Saccharomyces cerevisiae S288C: one gene and its partner. The gene in region 1 interacts genetically with each later gene. Each region holds a gene or a part of one and is shown in the gene's direction. Other genes may lie near its edges.

Region 1 (3,745 bases):
ATCCAATTATATACGAAAGAGTTTTATGCCACATGTACCTTAGGTGGTATAATTGCGTGCGGTCCAACACATTCTTCGATCACTCCACTAGATCTTGTCAAATGTAGGCTACAGGTCAATCCCAAGTTGTATACTTCAAACTTACAAGGGTTCCGTAAGATTATAGCTAATGAAGGCTGGAAGAAAGTATACACTGGGTTTGGTGCTACATTCGTCGGATATTCGCTACAAGGTGCAGGTAAGTATGGTGGTTATGAGTATTTCAAGCATTTGTATTCTAGTTGGTTAAGTCCTGGTGTCACTGTGTACTTGATGGCCTCAGCGACCGCTGAATTCCTCGCTGATATCATGTTGTGCCCATTTGAAGCTATTAAAGTGAAACAGCAGACTACTATGCCGCCCTTTTGCAATAACGTTGTTGATGGATGGAAAAAAATGTATGCAGAAAGTGGAGGTATGAAAGCATTTTATAAAGGTATTGTTCCCCTATGGTGCAGACAGATTCCTTACACAATGTGTAAGTTTACCTCATTCGAAAAAATTGTTCAAAAAATATACAGTGTTTTACCTAAAAAGAAAGAAGAAATGAACGCATTACAGCAAATATCAGTCAGTTTTGTAGGTGGTTATCTGGCAGGTATATTATGTGCTGCAGTCTCACATCCTGCAGACGTTATGGTTTCCAAGATCAATAGCGAAAGAAAGGCCAACGAGTCCATGTCTGTAGCCTCTAAAAGAATATATCAAAAAATTGGCTTTACTGGGTTGTGGAATGGGTTAATGGTGAGAATTGTCATGATCGGTACTTTGACAAGTTTCCAATGGCTAATTTACGATTCGTTCAAGGCTTATGTAGGCTTACCAACCACCGGTTAGCTGATCGATTCAATCGGCAAGGTTTATCGTAAACACTCTGTGCTAGAGGAATATTGTATACACAGGATTTCATAAAGTTAGTAAATGACCGGCATTTATAGTTTGTTCTTCTTTGCATATGTCTTAATAAATATTCGTCCTACAATTTCTTTTCATACTAAGAGTTTTGTTATGATTGCCAAATTTCTCAAGCCAAGAACAGGCCCAGGAAAACTTTGAAAGTGCCATATCAGAAACACATTTATAAGGTAGTTTCGATATACGGCAATACTCGATGCATGCCCAAACTTGCCAGCCGCTCGCGATTGAATCTTCTACAATTTTTAGGTGAACATATTCAGAGGCTGAGGCCTTATTTGATAGTAACATCAAATATCACTCCCACAATTTACAATCACTGTCATTGGTCTCACAGGATCCTTTTCTTTCTAGAACTCCCCTAATATCAACTTTTTACTCTACTGTGGCTCTAACCACGTGTATTTTTCAGGCCCATGACTCACCTTTTCTTTCTTTTTCACTAGCAAACGAAAATTTCATCATCACTTTTTTTTTTTTTCACTTTCCGTACGCAGTCTTCTCCAGAGATTCTTTTAGCTTCGAAGAAATAATGTATAATATCCATATATAAGAATACTGCTGGATAATTATTTTATTTCTATTTTAACAGTGCTCTACTCATTGAAGGATATTTGTGTAGCCAATACTCTCTCCATCGCTTAAGCTCACATAGCTATCGCATTTTATCACAGAAGCTTTCATTTTTTTTAACTTTTACATGCCAATGGATTTCCAACCTACATCAAGTCATTCGAACTGGGTCGTGCAAAAGTTCGGTGGTACATCTGTCGGTAAATTTCCCGTCCAAATAGTGGATGACATTGTGAAGCACTATTCTAAACCTGACGGCCCAAACAATAATGTCGCTGTCGTTTGTTCCGCCCGTTCTTCATACACCAAGGCTGAAGGTACCACTTCTCGTCTTTTGAAATGTTGTGATTTGGCTTCGCAAGAATCTGAATTTCAAGACATTATCGAAGTTATCAGACAAGACCATATCGATAATGCCGACCGCTTCATTCTCAATCCTGCCTTGCAAGCCAAGTTAGTGGATGATACCAATAAAGAACTTGAACTGGTCAAGAAATATTTAAATGCTTCAAAAGTTTTGGGTGAAGTGAGTTCACGTACAGTAGATCTGGTGATGTCATGTGGTGAGAAGTTGAGTTGTTTGTTCATGACTGCTTTATGTAATGACCGTGGCTGTAAGGCCAAATATGTGGATTTGAGCCACATTGTTCCCTCTGATTTCAGTGCCAGCGCTTTGGATAACAGTTTCTACACTTTCCTGGTTCAAGCATTGAAAGAAAAATTGGCCCCCTTTGTAAGTGCTAAAGAGCGTATCGTTCCAGTCTTTACAGGGTTTTTTGGTTTAGTTCCAACTGGTCTTCTGAATGGTGTTGGTCGTGGCTATACCGATTTATGTGCCGCTTTGATAGCAGTTGCTGTAAATGCTGATGAACTACAAGTTTGGAAGGAAGTTGATGGTATATTTACTGCTGATCCTCGTAAGGTTCCTGAAGCACGTTTGCTAGACAGTGTTACTCCAGAAGAAGCTTCTGAATTAACATATTATGGTTCCGAAGTTATACATCCTTTTACGATGGAACAAGTTATTAGGGCTAAGATTCCTATTAGAATCAAGAATGTTCAAAATCCATTAGGTAACGGTACCATTATCTACCCAGATAATGTAGCAAAGAAGGGTGAATCTACTCCACCACATCCTCCTGAGAACTTATCCTCATCTTTCTATGAAAAGAGAAAGAGAGGTGCCACTGCTATCACCACCAAAAATGACATTTTCGTCATCAACATTCATTCCAATAAGAAAACCCTATCCCATGGTTTCCTAGCTCAAATATTTACCATCCTGGATAAGTACAAGTTAGTCGTAGATTTAATATCTACTTCTGAAGTTCATGTTTCGATGGCTTTGCCCATTCCAGATGCAGACTCATTAAAATCTCTGAGACAAGCTGAGGAAAAATTGAGAATTTTAGGTTCTGTTGATATCACAAAGAAGTTGTCTATTGTTTCATTAGTTGGTAAACATATGAAACAATACATCGGCATTGCTGGTACCATGTTTACTACTCTTGCTGAAGAAGGCATCAACATTGAAATGATTTCTCAAGGGGCAAATGAAATAAACATATCCTGCGTTATCAATGAATCTGACTCCATAAAAGCGCTACAATGTATTCATGCCAAGTTACTAAGTGAGCGGACAAATACTTCAAACCAATTTGAACATGCCATTGATGAACGTTTAGAACAATTGAAAAGACTTGGAATTTAAATCCACCTTTCTTCTTCACTTTAATGATAGAATATTAATTTTCCCTTTATATATATATATATATATATATACGCGCACATATATTTACATATATATTAATGTTTTGTAACCTATATTGGGGCGATTATTCCCTAAATGTAATGTCAGGGTTATACTGTATCAATTGCTAAAGTAGATCTCATTCATCGAGAGCATAGGATGAAATAAAAGATACAAGAACGTGGCGGACAAGAAGAAATTTTACGAAATAAGATCGGCTAAAGCTTTCGCTAAATGCTTCTTTGAAGTGAAATTTAACGGCTTGTACTTAACTTCAGGTTTTATAACGTATGCATGAAGTGATTGAATTGCGCAATTAGTGGTCCTGGAAAGCAAATCCCCATCACTGACATCACTAGTGATTTTATTTTTATCAAGCGCAAGATACTCGCATAATTTACCCATCACTTGATCAAACTTCGGGAAGGTAAATCTTCTAGGAACCTTTGTTAACTTTTCAATTTCCAC
Region 2 (4,651 bases), on another chromosome or scaffold:
GCGGGAAAGTTGGACTTCTTTCGGATATTTGTTAGTATTGAGGAATAGCCTATATTTCTTGGTTAAAAACAAATCCCGAAATAAGGTAGTGCCAAACAGACATTGAATTATACTGTTAATATAGCATGTATTGCATGGATTTTGCAGGCCAGTAATAGATAACTCTGATAACAGATCATTAGAATCTTCAATTACTGGTAGATTGTAAGCTTTCGGGGCCGAAGATTCTATGGCCTCGATCTTTCCTTCTTCCTCCTTTGGCTTTTCCACCTTGGATAAAGAGGATGAAGAATCTTGGCTAGAATCTCTGATTTGTGACGAAACCTCCAAGGAGTGCACGGGGGGAGCAGTTGCTGGACTAGACAGCGTTTTGAATAATGCATCCTTTCCAGTACTGAGTTTTAAATACGAGGGTTTTGATAATGCTTCTTTGCTTGTGTAGTACGCCACTTCAGAACCAGCTTCCAATTTATTACTTGATGCTATCTGATTACTTTCCCTGACTATGTCCTCTTTCGAATTATCATTTGTTGGTTTTGTTAGCTCATTCGGTATTTCATGTAGTGAGCCATCAAACTTGTTATGTATTGACAAAGAGGCCATATGAACAGGTAAAGGCCGTAGCGGTAAGGAGTAGGCTCTTTTTCTTTTTATGGTCCTGCAAATTCCGTTTGACTCCGCTAAATACCGGTCAACAATAACAGTACTTTCATCTCTTACCACTTTTAACACATAACCCATCACGTGTTCGTCTTGATAGTCGTTTTTTAGCTTTGCGTAACTGCTGTAGAGATTATTTCTTGTTTGGAATTGTAACGATTGTGGAATAATAAGGTACAGATAATAACAACCAATAATAAATGCTGTCAAAGCTTCCATTTCCTGATTGATTTCTAAATCCCTCAGGTAAACATTAAACAGATGAGCAGCATGGTCTAACAATCCTCTTAAGTTCTTTAGCCGTAATTGCGAATAAAACTGTTTAATATCTACTTCATATACTTTTCGAACTAGGTTTAGAATTTGATCTGGGTTTAATAACATTGTCTTTATGACTTCCGATTTAGCGAAAAGAAAACGGAAAGTAAGATCAATGCCACGGTTATTTAGTTTACTGAAGATCCTGAAAGACTACTAGCAGTAGCAGTAACCTTTCAGAGCTTATAATCAACCTAATGATTACTCAGCGCACAATCTAAAAGGGTTTCTCAACTAATTCTCGAAGAAATGTCAATCCCTTTTTTAAGCACTCCGGAAAAACTTTATAATAGATGTGGGGAAATCACCTTTGACGATGTGCAACGGAGAAACTATTTTTTTTTTTCTTTTTTTCTTTTTTTTTTTTTTTTTGGTCCGAACAATGCGATGAGCCAGACGAAGAAAAAAATAAAAAATGAGAATGAGTAATTATGTTAAGACCTTTAGAAGAAATAGGGTCCAGTCACAGAATAAAGCCCCAGGAAACTTTAAAGCAATCGAAATTAACCAGCTATATTTATATAATAAGAAATTTTTCTTATTAGTTTACTATAAAGGACTAGTGTACGTTTTTTGTGTTTAATTATTTGCTTTCTGATAATCCGGTTTGCTGATTTGAATCGTTCTCTGCAACAATTGTTGATCTCTAGTGGGGTAAACAAAATTAGTTTTGTTTAAAACTTTTGTTGTAGCGTTTTTGCTCTTTTTTTTTTATCGCAGAATACATTTTATCGAGAATGTCGAATATAAGTACCAAAGATATACGAAAAAGTAAGCCAAAAAGAGGATCCGGCTTCGATTTACTTGAAGTGACTGAATCACTTGGCTATCAGACACACAGGAAAAATGGAAGAAATTCATGGTCAAAGGACGACGATAATATGCTACGATCGCTAGTAAACGAATCCGCAAAGGAGTTAGGCTATGAGAATGGACTTGAAGACGTAAAAACAATTCAACAATCCAACCATCTTTCTAAATGTATTGCTTGGGATGTTTTAGCTACACGATTCAAACACACCGTAAGAACTTCAAAGGATGTAAGAAAGCGTTGGACAGGATCTCTGGACCCAAACTTGAAGAAAGGTAAATGGACACAAGAAGAGGATGAGCAGCTCTTGAAAGCTTATGAAGAACATGGGCCTCACTGGCTGAGTATCTCCATGGATATCCCTGGAAGAACAGAGGATCAATGTGCGAAAAGGTACATTGAAGTGTTGGGACCTGGAAGTAAAGGTAGATTAAGAGAATGGACGCTCGAGGAAGATTTAAATCTGATAAGTAAAGTGAAGGCATACGGCACGAAATGGAGAAAGATTTCGTCGGAAATGGAATTCAGACCAAGTTTAACGTGCAGGAACAGATGGCGGAAAATTATTACTATGGTTGTGCGAGGACAAGCATCAGAAGTAATAACAAAGGCTATAAAAGAAAACAAGAACATAGACATGACAGACGGAAAACTCCGACAACATCCAATCGCCGATTCTGATATACGCTCAGATTCTACACCGAATAAAGAAGAACAGTTGCAGCTATCTCAACAGAACAACCCTTCATTGATAAAGCAGGATATATTGAATGTTAAAGAGAACGAATCGAGCAAACTACCAAGATTAAAGGATAATGATGGACCCATTTTAAATGACAGCAAGCCACAAGCATTACCTCCCTTAAAAGAGATATCTGCACCTCCACCAATCAGGATGACGCAAGTCGGTCAGACTCATACCAGTGGTAGCATTAGGAGCAAAGTATCTTTACCAATTGAAGGTCTTTCTCAAATGAACAAGCAAAGTCCTGGAGGAATCTCAGATAGCCCACAGACAAGCCTTCCCCCAGCATTCAATCCAGCATCTCTCGATGAGCATATGATGAATAGTAATAGTATTTCAGATTCTCCGAAGCATGCTTATTCTACTGTGAAAACTAGAGAACCAAATTCCTCTAGCACACAATGGAAATTTACATTAAAAGATGGTCAAGGTTTGTCAATTTCTAACGGAACTATTGACAGCACAAAATTAGTAAAAGAATTGGTTGACCAAGCTAAGAAGTACTCTTTAAAAATTTCGATACATCAACATATTCACAATCATTATGTTACATCCACAGACCATCCTGTCAGCAGCAATACTGGATTGTCAAATATAGGAAATATAAATGGAAACCCTCTATTAATGGATAGTTTCCCACATATGGGTAGACAACTGGGAAATGGTCTTCCAGGGTTAAATTCAAATAGTGACACTTTTAACCCAGAATATAGGACTTCTCTGGACAACATGGATAGCGATTTTTTATCAAGAACACCCAACTATAACGCATTCAGCTTGGAAGCAACTTCACACAATCCCGCTGACAATGCAAATGAACTTGGTTCACAAAGCAATAGAGAAACAAACAGCCCGTCTGTATTTTATCCTCAAGCAAATACATTGATCCCAACTAATTCTACCGCTACAAATAATGAAATCATTCAAGGAAACGTTAGTGCTAATAGTATGTCACCGAATTTCAATGGAACAAATGGCAAGGCACCAAGTTCGACGGCATCATATACAACGAGCGGTTCAGAAATGCCACCTGATGTAGGTCCTAATAGAATAGCGCATTTCAACTATTTGCCACCAACTATACGGCCTCATTTAGGCTCATCAGATGCGACAAGAGGTGCTGACTTGAATAAGTTACTCAATCCATCTCCAAATTCAGTAAGAAGTAACGGCAGTAAAACTAAGAAAAAAGAAAAAAGAAAAAGTGAATCATCTCAGCATCATTCTTCATCATCTGTGACAACCAATAAATTCAATCACATTGATCAGTCGGAGATATCAAGGACTACATCCAGATCTGATACTCCATTGAGAGATGAAGACGGCCTGGATTTTTGGGAAACGTTAAGATCCTTGGCTACTACGAATCCAAATCCTCCAGTTGAAAAGTCAGCTGAAAATGATGGTGCCAAGCCTCAAGTGGTACATCAAGGGATTGGCTCACATACAGAAGATAGCAGCCTAGGTTCCCATAGCGGAGGATACGATTTTTTTAACGAACTGTTGGATAAAAAGGCAGATACACTGCATAATGAGGCTAAGAAGACGAGCGAGCATGATATGACGTCAGGAGGTTCTACCGATAATGGGTCAGTCCTGCCACTGAATCCTAGTTGAGAAGGCAAGGCCGAAAAAAAACACAAATCTTTCAATTGTTTAACATATTAGTTTTGTAATAAGCATAAGTGTATATTATACATAGCACAAGATGGATAATATTCTCTGAAAAAAACGTGTAGTTTCATGACTCGCATTTTTTTTTTTTTTTCTTTCATGTTGATTAACATACTTGAATTCTGTATTTAAGCTGTATAAAAAGTTGTTCTATTTCATATACGGCGATTTTGCATAATTAAGAACTTTGCCTTGTACACTATTTTACTAGGGTATTCTTCCAAGATTTCTCTTCTTATTTTTTCCCTTTATAAGTCATTGTAGCAACATAATTTCCTGGAAATTTTAAGGGAATATATTTCTTTCCGCCCACAAACACAAAGGGCGTTTAGTAAATTATGCGGCGATGTATAAAAGAGAAAGCAGGCAAAAAGAAAATGAAAAATGAGACTATGAACTTTAAGAATTATGTCTTGACTAATTTTTTAAAACCCATCATCCAT

The links. A genetic interaction does not mean that the proteins touch.
Region 2: mutations in HOM3 (region 1) and BAS1 together harm fitness more than expected from each alone (negative genetic interaction), as found in Saccharomyces cerevisiae (3 studies listed by BioGRID).

What each region holds. Positions count from the first base shown.
Region 1 is NC_001137.3:255,868-259,612, reverse strand, and holds HOM3 (aspartate kinase), read left to right. Parts: upstream 1-1,654; coding exon 1,655-3,238; downstream 3,239-3,745. Other genes in the region: PIC2 (Cu/Pi carrier), read left to right, coding at 1-876; JHD1 ([Histone H3]-lysine-36 demethylase), read right to left, coding at 3,479-3,745. UniProt on the Saccharomyces cerevisiae protein: Phosphorylates aspartate, the first step in the biosynthesis of amino acids that derive from aspartate (the aspartate family of amino acids), including methioinine and threonine, the latter of which is a precursor to isoleucine.
Region 2 is NC_001143.9:634,136-638,786, forward strand, and holds BAS1 (Bas1p), read left to right. Parts: upstream 1-1,715; coding exon 1,716-4,151; downstream 4,152-4,651. Other genes in the region: ubiquitin-specific protease UBP11, read right to left, coding at 1-1,044. UniProt on the Saccharomyces cerevisiae protein: Activates HIS4 transcription only in combination with PHO2/BAS2. BAS1 is also involved in the regulation of the purine biosynthesis pathway.